Linked DNA regions of Drosophila melanogaster. The protein of the gene in region 1 purifies or fractionates together with the protein of each later gene. This does not show direct contact. Each region holds a gene or a part of one and is shown in the gene's direction. Other genes may lie near its edges.

Evidence for each region. The genes of interacting proteins can lie anywhere in the genome.
Region 2: the proteins of cerv (region 1) and Atac1 purify together in Drosophila melanogaster (affinity purification with mass spectrometry, with the first as the bait; one large-scale study listed by BioGRID). This does not show direct contact.
Region 3: the proteins of cerv (region 1) and CG1529 purify together in Drosophila melanogaster (affinity purification with mass spectrometry, with the first as the bait; one large-scale study listed by BioGRID). This does not show direct contact.

Annotation. Positions count from the first base shown.
Region 1 is NC_004354.4:15,576,063-15,580,495, reverse strand, and holds cerv (cervantes), read left to right. Parts: upstream 1-2,324; 5' UTR 2,325-2,606; coding exon 2,607-2,685; intron 2,686-2,730; coding exon 2,731-3,344; 3' UTR 3,345-3,510; downstream 3,511-4,433. Other genes in the region: CG7872 (uncharacterized protein), read right to left, coding at 1,061-2,062.
Region 2 is NT_033779.5:6,958,323-6,962,659, reverse strand, and holds Atac1 (Ada2a-containing complex component 1), read left to right. Parts: upstream 1-2,331; 5' UTR 2,332-2,406; coding exon 2,407-3,477; 3' UTR 3,478-3,561; downstream 3,562-4,337. Other genes in the region: sip2 (septin interacting protein 2), read left to right, coding at 1-765, 830-1,069; Hmgcl (3-Hydroxymethyl-3-methylglutaryl-CoA lyase), read right to left, coding at 1,187-2,113, 2,173-2,217; CG3430 (uncharacterized protein), read right to left, coding at 3,621-4,004, 4,071-4,314.
Region 3 is NC_004354.4:21,027,876-21,034,553, reverse strand, and holds CG1529 (uncharacterized protein), read left to right. Parts: upstream 1-2,603; 5' UTR 2,604-2,694; coding exon 2,695-2,967; intron 2,968-3,020; exon of another isoform or gene 3,021-3,031; coding exon 3,032-4,297; 3' UTR 4,298-5,902; downstream 5,903-6,678. Other genes in the region: CG1532 (uncharacterized protein), read left to right, coding at 6,279-6,374, 6,602-6,651.

The DNA of each region.
Region 1 (4,433 bases):
AACTTGAGGACTTTGATTCTTTAGAAGAAATGATAAGGTAATAAATGCTTATTATTTCACTACCTTATGCTGTTATATTACTTTAAACAAATTGAGGACTTTGATTCTTTAGAAGAAATTATACGATTGTAAATGTTTATTATTTTATGCTATTATATTACATTAAACAACTTGAGGACTTTGATTCTTTAGAAGAAATGATAAGGTAATAAATGCTTATTATTTCACTACCTTATGCTGTTATATTACTTTAAACAAATTGAGGACTTTGAAGACATGTTTAAATAAAAATTGGTATACGTGAACTGCGAATAGCGAAATGCAAGAGCCACACGCATGTATCCGAAACTAAAGTCAGCATTTCGCAAAACAAATCAACTTTATTTGAAGGCTACCATTGAAAAATCTAGACTTCTTTACTCTTCAGCTTATTTTCAAGCACGTACTTAAGTTTAACTTTCAGCAACCGCACCAAACCAAGAAACAATAAAAAACGAAATTGTTTCTAAGCAAACTGTGTAAACAAAAGCACGGAGAGATGCTGTTTAGAGCGAATAAATGCCACGAGATCGAATTTTTGGCCATCCAGAACAACTGTGCAAACCAGGCACAGTGAACAACCAGTAAGAGAGACGTTTGAATTTTATCTAGTTTATTACAGTAATCGGTTTAGTCAAGTTAGTTAGGAAACACGCGAATGTGGCGTGCTTTTTTTGTGACCAGCCAGGTAGGGGTATAATTGTTCTAGGATGGTTCGTTCACGGCAGCCAGTGGACACTGTGCCGACGCGTACCGAACGTGGCCACGTTCTTGAACCGGTTTTGGCGGATCGCTCCGGCGGGGTCAACGTTTCGCCCTTTGGCGGACAACACCGGGACATTAACATAATTCATATTGATATAGTTGGTGTACAAAAAATTTCTAAATATATATATATAAATGTATCAAAATTTAGACGGTATGGGGATGCCGAGGGCGAGGAATTTGGGATCGGTTTTACAACACGCACACAACAGACTTTTAGATGGAACAATGAAACTTGAACATCGCAGAGCAGCGGCTAATCCTCAAAGGTGATGCGGCCGGGTCCGTGGTTCTTCATGTATCGCCTGTACGCCTTGTATCGTGGATTCTCCGCCAGCTTCTTTTTCATCTCCTCTTCCTGTTCTGCCTTCCAGGCGACGAAGTTCTCGCGCTTCCACAGCTTCAGATGCAGGTACTCCTCGATCAGCTTGTCCTCCTGCGCCTCGAACTGATGCTGGCCCATGCCCAGGTGCCGGCGGATGAGGTAGAGCTTCTGCTCGCGGCCATACGGCTGCTTCATTACCGTGTAGCGCCAGAACCACTGAGCGTGCCACACGATGAACGAGAGTATCGTGTAGGGGCAGATGATCAGCTGCACCCACAGCACATCCCAGAGTGTCGGCTTCGCATAGCCGCCCTTAACGTCCATCTTCTCCTCGATCACCCGCCGGATGATCCGTTCCAGCTCATCGCGCTGATCGTTCTTGGACATACGATTCTTGCCCTTCTTCTGGATCTTTTCCTGGATCTCGTCGCGAGCTATTTCCAGGGCCTGGTTCCTATACTTGGGCACCGTGGCAAAGTACTTGATGGCAGAATCGTAGCGCTGCCAGCCGGAATAGTACTGGATGACGGACACAATGGTTAGGACGACCACGATAACCACGCGCACATCCACCTTGGGCGCCACGCGTCGCCGGTAGTAGCGATAGTAATGCGCATAGTATGCATCCGGGTTGTCCAGCATGTAATCGTAGTCCGTGCGCGACTCCTCATCGCGCAGGATCTCGTAGGCGGTGGCCACCAGCTTAAACTGCGTCTCCGCCGCCGCCTTGGCCTCGGCACCCCGATGCAGATCTGGATGATAGCGCCTCGCCAGCTGGCGGTATGCTTTGCCGATCTCCGACTTGGACGACTCTCTGGTGACGCCCAGCACGTCGTAACAGTTTTCCTTGCCACAGTACAGGCCCTCTAGCAGGCCCAGGGCCATCGTGGGCAGCAGGGCCAAGAGCACCAACCGTAGTCCGTGCGTCCGCATCTTGGATAGCGCTTTCACCCTGGGGACACGTGTAGCTGCAGCTGGGGCGCACAGCTGGCACTCGTTGGCTGGGATCGGATCGGAGCGGATTGGTTGTGACTTGGATTGGTCCGCAGCAACTGGTGGCAGTGGCGGTCGCGCTGGCGCTGCTCGTCCGTCTGCTCGGCGTTTGGCACACTGAAAAGTTGGCCGCCGCTCGTTATCCAGGTTGACATTGGCCGATAACACCGATAACCGCGATAGCTCGCGGGTGGATAAGACCGTATGTTGGGGATATGGTCACTCTAAGTTAACTCATTTTACATTTTATTTTAGAGTCGCTAATTTGACGCACATTTATTTTACTTAAATTTCAGGCATAAAATCCATGCTTATACACCACGATTATTAACAGTTCGCCAAATACCGATTACACCCTCGTTAGGCTGCCTATCGAACTTATCGGTCCTAGCTGAACCTAGCTAAGCGTCAGTCTTGAACATTTGGATCCAAATATTCTGGATTTGCAATTTGCAAAGCGTCTGCATAGAATCTGGGCTTTAAAATGGACTTCAATTACCATGTGGATTCGGCACTTACCACTTTATTGGAAAACCAAAAGTTCTTCAAAGAAATGGCAGAAGGTAAGCCATGCGACACACTGAGACATCTTTAAAACCTACCCACAGTCGTGTCCGATTTCAGTGATGGCAGGGAGATCCAGAAGTTGTTGGACCAGAACGTGGATCTCGCCGAGAATCTCATCCGAATGAAGAGCAAGCACCAATTGCTCAGCAAGGCTATGAAGCATGCCAAAAACTCTAGCAACACCATCGAGAAGTTCGAGGAAGTCTGGAAGGAGCGCTCCGAAGCGGTGGAGCAGAAGCGCATCGATGTCAAGAACTCAGCCGAGTTCAAAAACTTCATGAAAGCGGCAGCTCCCCAGGCGGGTGCGGAAACAAATGGTCAAGCGAATAGCGCCGCCCATGACGAGGACCTTATCATGGAAGCCACCGGCGGCGAGGTCTTCTCGCTCTACGATCCCTGGTCCAAAGCCTTGATAAAGAACCCCGTGCGCAACAAAAAGTGCGGCCACATCTACGACCGCGACTCGGTGATGCTGATCATCACGGACAACATTGGTATTCGATGCCCAGTGCTCGGCTGTCCCAACAGGTCCTACATCCATCCAGCGCACCTGGTCAAGGACTCCAACCTACAGCAGAAGTTGCAAGAGCGCATGTCTGACGCGATCGAGAAAGAAACTTCCTCGGAGGAGGACGATGAACAGGCAGATCATTAATTATGCGCAACTTCCTTCTTGTCGACTAATAACGCAGCGTAAGATATCACGTTCTTGTAAGACAACCATTTGATGAAAATTTAAGGTACAACGAATAAACATGTTTTAAAAATAGTCCCGAAAAAATTTAGAGAAAATATATTAGAAGTGCAGTATGCACGTATGTATATAGTTTGCGATTTATTTAGAAAATTGGTACAAATGTAGAAACAAATGAATATATAGCACGATTGCCATCGAAATCATCGCCGAAACATTCTAGCGAGTCTTTGCCGCAGACGATCCACATCAGACTCATATGGCACCAATGGCACCTTGTCATTATCCGGATCGCTACTATCTTCAGAGGAGATCCAGACTGATTTACCATTGCTAAGCTTCGGCTCTGAATCCCCGCAAGCCATGGGGTCCTTCAGCATGGCTGCTTCCTCATTGTTTTTGGTTTTTTGCCGGAAAAAGCTTCCGGCATGGGTGCCTTGGTCAATGGGCCAGCTGTTGGCGACTTGCGCTGGAAATCTCTACAAATAACGAAGAATCTATCGGGAGCGGTGAACGGAATAATGAAATCGGTGAGCTCTATGAAGAATCGTAGGACTTCATTGTTTCGTTTAGAAAACCTATCAACTTGTATGCGTAAAGCATTTTCTTGAAATGGTCATCTTAAAAATGCTGTGCTTTGCAAATAGTTAAGTATTATCCGCTCGGATATGTGAATCAACTGAGGTCCTCACGCCAAATTATAAATGTGACTTGTAGACTGCAAAGTCATCGCCTTCTTTTTTGAGTTCTTGACACAAGCAAAAAGGGTTGCCATGGCGTTGTCATGCCCTTGGAGATAAAACCTCTAGACTCAAATATTCTTATTATGTTCCGCTGACATAATAAGTATTAGTGTTTTTATTTCATAATAAATTATGCAATTTACAGCATCGGAAATTGGTAGCTTCAGTATAATATTATCAAATATATTCAGTTTTATACCCGTTACTCGTGAAAGGGTATAGTAGATTTGTTAAAAAGTATGTAACTGGCAGAAGAAAGCGTTTCCGACCATATAAAGTATATATATTCTTGATCAGGAACAATAGC
Region 2 (4,337 bases), on another chromosome or scaffold:
TCTGACGATGAAGAAGTGCAGCTAGTTCCAGAAGTAAAACAAGAAGACACGTCCCGTGTGTCCTCAGTCCACGGAAAAGATCACACTGAGCAGAAACCAGCGGAGAAGAGCGTTGAAAATAAGGAAAATTCGTTGCATTTCAATGATACCATGGAAGAAATGGAGTACATGATGCAAAAGGGTATGGAGTACATGGCAGGTGGGGCTCCTTCAGTCGCCGCAGTCAAGGCAGATTGCCCTGTGCTGCCCAAGACCAAACAAAGCACGTTCGTTGTTTCACCGAAGCCGGAACCAAAATCACCGGCTGTAGCCTTTTTGCAGCCATCAATTCCGCTGCGGTCATCTAATCAGCCACAAACAGTTGTAGGTTCATCTAGCACGGGTAGAAAGCCGCTCAATGTCGGCCTCACCATGGAGTGGACCAAAAAGAAATTTTTCAGTGCAGCCTCTGGTATTCCTCAGCGTCGCCAAAATCAGATAAAGCAGCCATACGCCAACATAGTCAGTCCCATACGCACCTACACCCAGAAGTCTGGTACTGCTCCGCTAATGAGTACATTCCGTCCAACGAGTTCTGATATGCTATCTACACTGGCCATCAGTGAGTTGGAGCAGGAGTCTCGCTTGTGTCATCCTAAAGCACTTTTCGCAACAAAGGACGAAACACCCAAGTCCAGTGAAGCGGAATCTTTAATTATCAATGGAATCGATTCAGCCGCTGATCTGCTTCCCAAAAAGGCTTACATATCTTCCGAAATCAAGCATGTAAGTTTAAATTTATATATAAGCCATGATGAGTGAACGTAAACTAATACCTTCCATTGAACAGGTGGTTGATGAACGAACTCCTTTGCCCATGCCGAAGGTACCTCAAATTCAAAAATACCTCAACTCCGCCGTGGAGCCTACTGTTATGCGCCACGATGGCAAAATGAAAATGCCCGGCGAGGCAGTCCGCAATCCGTCGTCTTCGCATATCCCACGACGCGCCAATCACAGCCTGGCTGATCTGTCGCTCGCCTCAGGCGACGTGTCCTTATACACAATAAGAGATGCCCAAAAGTTTTAAGGCCCATAAAAGTACTTCACGCTCCTTGACTAAATATTGCAACGATAATAAATGTATTGTGTAACTAGTGCTAGTAAATGCCTTCGTTTTCGTTTGATAGTATCAATGCTTGCATCATCACTTAACTCGCGCCTGCGGTCCCTTCCACGCTCGATTAACCTTGGACTCTGAGGTTCTGCCCAGTTCGGTGCAGATGTACCGCCCCACTTGGATCAGTTTGTCTAGGTTGACGCCAGTATCGAGGCCCATGCCGTGCAGTAAGTAGACCACATCCTCGGTGGCTGCGTTGCCTGACGCCCCCTTGGCGTAAGGACATCCGCCCAAGCCAGAAACGGAAGAGTCCACCACCCGAATGCCATAGTCCAGTGAGACCAGTATGTTGCTCAGAGCCTGACCATAAGTGTCGTGGCAGTGCACGGCCAGATCTTTAGCCGGGACGACCTTGGTCACCTCATCCAGCATTCGGCGCATTGTGCCTGGAGTGCCCACACCAATGGTGTCGCCCAATGAGATCTCATAGCAGCCCATTTGGTACAGGGCTTCCACCACTTTGACGACAGCACTCGGCGCAACAGCACCCTCGTACGGGCAGCCAACCACGGTGGAAACGTAGCCCCGGACGCGCACACCATGCTTTTGGGCTGCTTTCAGCACAGGTTTAAATCGTTCGATGGCCTCAGCTGCCGTGCAATTAACGTTCTTCAGCGAAAACGCATCAGATGCGGCTCCAAAGACTGCCACCTCCTCGGCTCCCGCCTCCAGAGCACTCTCGAATCCCTTCAGATTAGGCGTGAGGACTGGATAGCTTATACCAGTCACTTTGCGGATTCCTTTCAGCACTTCGGCATTGTCGCCCATCTGTGGCACCCATTTGGCGCTCACAAAGCTGGTGGCTTCTATGGTTCGCAGTCCTGTTTCGGACAATTGGTTGATCAGCTCGATCTTGGTGGCTGCCGGCAGGAGTTTGGGCTCGTTTTGAAGACCATCCCGCGGTCCAACCTCCACAATTCGCACCTGATTGGCCGCGCTTGTAACCGCCGTGCGCTGTTAGTTTTAAAATTATTAAAATATTGTCAAGTGCGTTCGATTTTCCGTGAAATTACCTTTGCTGTAAGTGCAAGGATAGAGCGAATTGGTGCACTTATCATTGCTAAATTTGTAAATAAACGTTACGTATTCCGCTTCTTCTTTTTTCGCTGATAACAGCTGATAATGATCCAAGATCGATATGTTGCTAAATTTCGATAACTGTTTTGCTTAATGAGCTGCCATCTCTAGCGCAGAGGCGTAAACACATTTTTTGTATACAAACGGGTATTTGGTGCTAATTCTTTGTAATGGAAATAGCAGAGATATCTGCAGAAGATGAGGATGTGTTTCACTTTGAGACCGAGCACCTGGCCCTGCGTGGCAACCAGTGCTATACCAATTTGCTGCGCACTTTGGCCGTGCTGCAGGCACAAAGGATTCGGGTGCATCAGCAGATTGAGGAATTGGAAGCCACACAAAATATCTACTTGGAGAATCCGCAACATATGCTGGACAAACTGCGAAACAACGAGCCTTTGATAGCGGATAATTACATCACCACGACCGTTCTACCGGACTTGCCAACTCTGTCGCCCAATGACGAGGAAGGGGGCACAAATGAGACACCGACCGATGCGTCTTCATGGACGCAAGAGGCGAACAAGAATCGGGACAGGAGCAATGGACGGTCGGAGAATTTCAATCGCTTGTGGACCAACGAAGAGCAGAGTCGCTTGGAGCAGCTGCTCATCCAGTATCCGCCAGAGGAAGTGGAAATGCGCAGATTCGGGAAGATAGCGAAGGCCTTGGGCAACAGAACGGCACAGCAAGTGTATAGTCGTGTCCAGAAGTATTTCCAAAAGCTGCACGATGCCGGAATGCCTGTGCCCGGTCGCATACCCAAGCATCGACGTCCTGGTTTGAGTAAGCCGAAGATCAAACTTCGCAAGTCAACCTTCTTCCCCGCTCATAATATATCGCTACAAATGCCAGAGGACGATTTCACATTTGACGACCTGCGAATCCCATCGCCTGCGAGCGATATGCTCCTTATGCCGGCATCCAAGATCGAACCAAAGATCGAATCCGAGTACATGGATGCCGATCTGAATGCGGAGTCAAAGCGAAAACAGGAACTATGCCTTAAGCTTCTATCAGCCATTCAGGACGAGAAACGGGAAATGGAGGACGGATATGAGCCAGACTTGCTGGCCGCCAAGTGTGCCGAGTGCGAAGAGGCATCTGTGACCAGGACCCAATGGCGTTGTAACAGTTGTTATTGTTACCTTAATCTGTGCGGAGATTGCCTGGCCAGTCAGCTAATCGAAGGGCGTTTCGAGCATTTAAGTCATGAAGTTGTAGTGGACCAAGAGTCATGACGCTCCTAGAGTCCCATTTACTTGAGTACTAAATTACTAGACTTGCCTGTAAAGCTACAAATTAAATATAAAGAGAATAATTTTAAAAAATTCTATTTTATTTATAAAAACTTAATATTAAATGGTATAAAAGAGAGGCCCTCTTAATTGCGCAATTGGGCAGATGATTTCGGCAGAGATTGAATACGCTGGCGACGCTTTGCTTCGAACTCCGTAGCCAGCTGCCATGTTTCTTTGTCCAACGTATCCTTCCCCCGGGCGATGCCCAGCAGCCGTGAGAGGACCAGCAATCCATGCAGATCATCGGCATTACTTTTGACATTAGCTTTACGCATGTCCACGAAATCCTGCTGGATCATTTCAGTGTGCTCCTCGCTCACGTTGAAGCCGCTAGTGCGCGCTGTGGTCAAGTACTTGCGAAACTGCTGCAGACGTGATGGCTGCAGATAGTGGTGGGCTGCCTTTAGAGATTCATCAACAAGTTCCACGGCCTTAGAATCGGCATTAATGGGCAGCACAAAATCGCTCTGAAAACATATCATTAATAGTTTCTATTGGATATAATGATTATTTATATAAACTTATATTCTTACCGGCAACATACTTCGCCCTTCACTGAGCACGAGAACTGGAATATTTGCTTGGTAGTCTATTTGGTAATACTGAAAGTCGCACTTCAGTTCCTGATTATTGATCAAGTGCGCTAAATGCTGAACGGCATGAACACCATTGGCCTCCAGCTTGCCCTGTTGCATGCACGTCTCGTCGAGCACCAAATGCGTATGGGGAGCCAACTGTAGTACGCCGGAAACCAGCTTGTTTGTCTCATAATCCTTCCTGCAAGTACTCATTAATAGGTA
Region 3 (6,678 bases), 5.5 Mb from region 1:
TGGAGTGCAGGGCGTTGGACATCACCGTGCGATCTTTGGTTTGACACCGTCTTTGCCCTTACTCGGTTCTTCATAGCTAAAGAGGCCATTAGGGATGGTCTGTTGGCTAGCATCAGTTCTTGCGGTGCATTTGGCATGCGAATTCTCCTCCTCCGGCAGCCTCACGCGCAGCTTTAGTTGGAGATCCTTCAATCTGGCAAATGTGTTCTTCATTGCCAGATTAATGCTCCTCACCCCGTTGTATAATATATCTCCCATCTCCTCGATTTCTAGAAAAGGGGGCCTTGCTGGTTGGGCTCTGTTTGGGGGGGAGGTCACTTATAATGGCCCCTTGGGGGTGCCATCGTTTGGCTTATAGGGTGGGGTCCTTAGAACCTTGGACTGCAAGGTGTGCGGCCCTATACCATTCGCCAGGTGATGGTTACGGTGCTGGCCGATGAGGCTCAGACACAAACCATTCCGCCGGCCACCTTGGCTCAGACGCAAAATGGGTTTTTATTATGCTGCTGCCCGGCTGGTCAAGAGAGCAAGCGCAGCGTCATGGACTTAAGGGTTGGGTGTGAAGGGTGAAGTTCCGACGGGGGACTCATAAGCGGAGGGGTTGGCTATTGGTCTGCTCCGTGATTTTTACACTATTACTGTGTGTTAGAGACAGTCACTCCTGTCTCTATTTAGCTGCCGCGACACGGAAAATTTTCGGGTTTTCCAGGAGCGTTAACTCGATTCGCCCGGCTACTCGCGCGCGTCCCCAGTGCTCTGATTACACAGGATTAGGTTTTTTTTTTTTTAATTCGTCTATTGAACATTTAAGATTAAGATTAACAGATTAACAATGTAAAAGTAAGGAGGGCAAATCCAGGACCCCCCGCGGTATGGCCGTGAAGCATTGCTTCGCGAGGACGATCAGGATTTGCAATGCAAAACAAGATTTTTTCGCATGGTGCCAATTGATCAAAAATAATATAGATTTAAAGTCTAAGAACTTCTGAGGTGAAGGGCATATTTTGTCAAATTTACAATGCATGAACATACGTGTGCACACATACAGTTGTCTGCTATTCGCTGTAGCGCTCTCCGCTCTCTCGCTCTCTAACAAAAATTCGAGAGAGCCTGGAGCCACCTCTAGAGCCACGGCCAAAAAATCGTGTGCCAAAAAATCGTATGGCGTTACGCATCTTGTTATTCTAGTGTCTTTGCATAAACCAAATCATAGAATGCCTTAGGATATAAGTCATAAATTCAAGTATCCCATAAGAACCCCAATTCTGGTGACAATAAAAAATCCAGCCTGCCCTAATGTAAACATTAACATCCGCTGCCGAATTCGCTATTCCCACCAAAGGGTCAAAACCGCTAACGCAGCTGAAGTTCTCGGCTGATCAGTACCCATGCGCGATCCACTCAAGAGGGCACCCAATCCACCAGACATAAACATCCGCAGCCGCATTCACGACTCCCACCAAAGGGTCAAAACCGCTTACGAAGCTCAAATCCTTGGCTTATCCCAGCATCCATGCACGATCCACTCAATTCATAGAAATACATAAGAGGAGCCCTCTTTAGCTTAACACATAAAGAAGTAAATTTCAGTCAAGGGTTTGCTAAGCATTCGCTTTGCAACTTACAATTAAATTTAATTCTTTCACTCTACGAATAAGACCTGAATTGTCTCCGCTTCCACACTTTTAATTTTATTTGAATAAATTACAATTCCAATAAATTAATATCATATATATTTTTATATTGTTTTGAAATTCTTACTCGTTTGCCTCTGACTAGGATATTTTCCACATGAACCGCGGTTAACGACCAAAATGGGCAATTCAGGATGACAACTGTTTGTAATTTTTGGTATATTTATATTTATATTTATTTATATTGGGTGATGACTGTAAAATCCTCAGGGCATCCTAGGTTGGGTGGGTGCGCATGTATGTTCATTTGCAATTAATGCTTTTGATTACCTTTTTTTGTTCCTTTGATTATTTGAGATCTTAGGTGTGCAGAGTGGTGAGACGTCGATAGTTATCGATATTTCTATTGCGAGCTGTGTGGTAAGCCTGAGCTAGAGGCACTGCAATAACGAAGGATAAGCAGTTCGTAACAAATTATTGCATTACTGTCAGCCGTAATACTTGGTCATATTTGGAAAACAATTATTTGTTTTTCATATATTATATATATATATATATATATTATTATATTATTATTTTTAGATTTGTTGTTTAATTCACGTTAAGAATCCGTTTTAAGGTCTCTAAAGTTGCTTTTCGATCCGTTCATTTAAATTGTGTAATTTTCAGGCGGGTTTTATTTATAAATAGAGAGGGACCAGATATTGAAAGGATGAAATAAACTGTAATACCGGAAACATCTTACTAGATGCATTCTTCGCATTGGGAAATGTTAATATCCACCCTAATTTATGACTAAGATTAAAAATGCATTGCGATTTCTAATAATATTAATGTAGTATTAATATTTTCGATATACAAGCTTATAGAATTTTTTAAAGCCTATAAGCTGGATTGGTAACGATATCGATAAGAGTGATCGATCAACGGCAGCGCAACAGGTGTCGCCCTCTGGTAACACTGGCGGTGCGTGTGCATCACAGCAGGAAAATTTAAGAGGCGGAAAAAAGAACTGGATTTCCACGTAGAACGTTGCCTTTAACGCGCACGATTCGTGGCGATGTTCACCACATTTACGGACCTCGCGCGCCTGTGCAGGATTTGCCTGCGTCATCTGCGCGACCGCGACACCCACTGTCCCGATCCGCGACTCATCGCGATTCTGCAAAAGTTGCTGGACATCGACATATTGAAGCAGCCGCATGGATTTCCCACTGAGATCTGCAACCTGTGCCACAACGCGGTGGTCTACTTTGACGAGCTGCGCCAAGTGGCAAGGGAATCCAGCCAGAAGCTTATCGGATGGCAGCCAGTGGACATCGCGGTCGACAGGGTGGATATATATGTCCTTTTCGGCTTGTTAAACCTGGATTAATACTTTCTTAGTTCTTTCCTAGGTGAAGGAGGAGCCGCCGGACGAAGGACTCAAGGAAAACCATGAGGAAAATGAGCATGAACTGGAGGAAGAGCATGAAAAGCAGGCGGATGGGCAGCAGGTAGATCTGTCGAAGAAGCAGGAGGATCAGAAGAAGATTCTTGACGACCGGGAGGATGAGGAGTATCCAGATGAGTACGAGAACAGCCAGCAACAGCTTAGCCAAGGCACTGGTAGTAAACGACGCGCTGGCTTGGCCTGCGATCAGTGCGGCAAGCAGGTGTACAAGCTACCGTACTTGGAGGCCCACATCCGCAGCGTCCATCAGGGCTACTCGAAACCCTTCTTGTGCCGCAGCTGCGACAAGTCCTTCACTCGATATGAGCAGCTGCGCTCCCACATGCGCAACGCCCATCCACAGCTGGAGCAACTGCAGCAGGAGCTGCGCGACCTAATCTGCGAGCTGTGCAACCGGCAGTACAGCACAAAGAATGCCTTGGGCGAGCATTTAAAGCGTCATGCCCAGCGCAAGGAGCACGTGTGCGAGCACTGTGGAGTGGCCAAGGTGACCCGAACGGAGCTACTGACCCACCTGCGCACCCACAATCCCACCTGGGAGCGCTTCAAGTGCGAGCAGTGTCCGCAGCTCTTTCGCCACAAGAGCGCCATTAGCCGGCATGTTCGGGTGGTCCACGAGGGTCAGCGGCGGTTCCAGTGCGGTCATTGCGAGAAAAAGTTTGGCACGCATGCCTCGCAGGTGCGGCACGAGCGGCTGCACACGGAATCCACGGGCTCGGGAGAGGCAGCCGAGGAATGGCCCTTTGCCTGTATTCACTGCCAGAAGCCTTGCGTTTCGCGACAAACCCTTGAGTTGCACCTACGAAGGCACCGCGCGAGAAAGACGCACAGAAAACGAAGGGAGCACAGTCGGGAGAGTCAGGAGCAGGAGCAGGAGCACGACCGCGATCAGGAGCAGGGCGCTCGGGAAGCTCAACAGGATCAGCTCCGCAAGGGGGAAAAGCTACGGCAGAGAGATCTCTCCAGGGAAAGCCACCGAAATGAGGTGACCATGCAGACAAGCCAGCGGCCAAATGAGTGTCAACAAGGTCAAGAGTCCTACGATCCGGAACCGGATCCGCTGGAGGCAAGTCAGTGCAAGCTAGAGCAGGAAGATGCACTCGATCCGGAATGGCAGCACAAAATAGAGCAGGACGCAGAATCGCAAGACTCGGCGCGACTGGAAGGGCATTTCCATGACTACAAACCTATCCCTTCGAAAGCCTTATGATCAACTATAACCTATCCATATACGTCCGGTTACATACATCAGGTTAGCGCCCCTTGAGCAAAAATCTTTGATTTGAGATATTTAGAAAACTGTTAAAGCTAGAGTTTTGAAAATTGCTTTTCATTCAAACGTTGAACAATTCTATAAATGTAAAATTTATATAGGATGCAGTTTCTTGTTTATAGATTTTTATTTAAGTAAAAAAAAAATCCATAAATGGGTTAATTAAAATTGGGTTATCAGGATAACGCCCCCTAAGATAATTTAAGTTGGTTCGATTCATTTCGAAAGAAATTGGGATGATTAACACTTAAATATTTAAATTAGAATATTTTTAAAGGAAATTATGGACTTCACACATTCGTCTGGAAAGGGAATCATATATTTTTTTTGTAGGTAATCCAAAGTAATCGCAGACCAATCGAGTTTTATTCCGGTGAACGATTCGTTTTGAGTGGCATATTGTTTACCACCCTCGTATACCTTCCTAGCCAACCATACCCACACGTTATCTATTATATAGTAGTAGTATGGTGGTAGTAGTATGGAATCCATGTTTTTGCCAAACGTGCAGTGTGGATTGAGACACTGTCAATTTGAAAATGTCATTCTAAATTTCCAAAAACGTTTCTAAAGTAGGGAAATGCAGTTTTGAATTATAATCTTTTGCGTTCATTTTTGGTGTTTAAAACTGCAATTTACCTATAACCCGACTGTGACAGCGATCCAAAATGTACGCAAATCATAATAGTAATGAAAAAAGCCGTCTGGTTTCTCCAGATTAAATTTCTTCTTGTCCGAAAATACGACGCCACTCCTTAGACCAAGTCAAATGAGCTCGAGCAAAACTCAGACCCGCTTTTTTTCGCAACTTATTGAGAGGTGGTTTTATTTTCAGTTTTTCGTGTTTTATGTTTAGCTGTCTTAATCACCATTTGAATCAAAGATTTGATCTGGTTTTCAACACTTTTTCTCGAATTTTGGCGGAGAAGTCGTGGGAATTGGGAGGTATTCGAAGTATGGACCTGCGATCTGCCGCGGTAAAGACAAGGTTATTGCCACCATTATTTTTTTTTTCCATAAGTTTCGTTCTTTTGAATAAAGTTTATTATAGGGTTGCGACATCTGGCGGGTTTTCTGAAATTTTATGATTATGAGCATTAATAGAATGCTATGATATTGTATATTTCCTGCAGGGATAACAGGGTTCCTCTTAAAGCAAACTTTTCAATTCAACAGCATAACAAATTTTGTTGTCCTTACCTTAGGACCTTTTTTTTATCCTCAAGGAGAGAGGGAATGTCAGTGAACAAAAAACAACAACATTGATGAATTTTCGTGCAATGGCAAAACCAGAAAATAAAAATGAACGGAGCCATGCAGGGGGCGCTAATCTGATGACGCGTAGTGTATATCCAATGAACTATCATGCAAATGTGGCTAGGACGCATTAGCGAAAATTTTTAAATATCTTACTTTCACGACATTTTATCCTTGCTACTACAATGTATTAAATAGTTTTATATGTTCGCTTACTTCGTATTTTATACGTTTTATATGCTCGCTTACTCCATATTTTAAGTGCCTAATAAAACTGTTGACGATAATTGCTTTTCATGGAAGGACTTTTGTGACAACATTTTGGATATACTCTTTTTTTAAAGTGTATTTGTCAAGTGTAAAATTTTGTGTCACAAAAGGTAAATTCCGATATTCGTTTTTTGAAGGTGCGATAGTCATTAGTTTTTTCCTCGTAGATGTCAATCAGCAAAAAGCGCACTTTATAATTTAAAACTTACAGTGTATTTAAATTTATTATTATTTAGTCTAAACTAAAAAATATCGATACTTCCAAAAGCTCCCGTCGCTGGGAATATTTGCTGTTCTGCGCACGGCCACACTGAAACGGAATGTACATAAACAAGGCCGAAATTCGATCGGAAAGCACTTGCTGAATAAACGCCAGCTGATAAACACAAAGATGTCGGCCATATCGGGACGCGCCCTGCACTATGTGTTCAAAATCGGAGATCGGGCGAAAAACGCCTTCTTCTTTCGGCAAATCTTGGGAATGACGGTAAGCTGGGTGTGGCGGGCGTATCGCCAGAAATCGGCAGACTTCCTTATCGCAGGCTGTTGTGTCTGGCTGTAGTTTTATCTGGACAACGTGTCAACGACGCGCGGCTGCTAATTAAAAAGCCCAGATGCCCGATAATGTCATATAATGACTGTGTTAAAATTTCATTTTTCTCTCATCGTTTTTGCTCCCTTCTATCGCCATCCCGCTCGTTCGCACGGCAACAGGTGCTGCGGCATGAGGAGTTCAAGGAGGGATGCGACGCAGCTTGCAACGGGTGAGTGCTATTTCGGAGTGTTGCGAC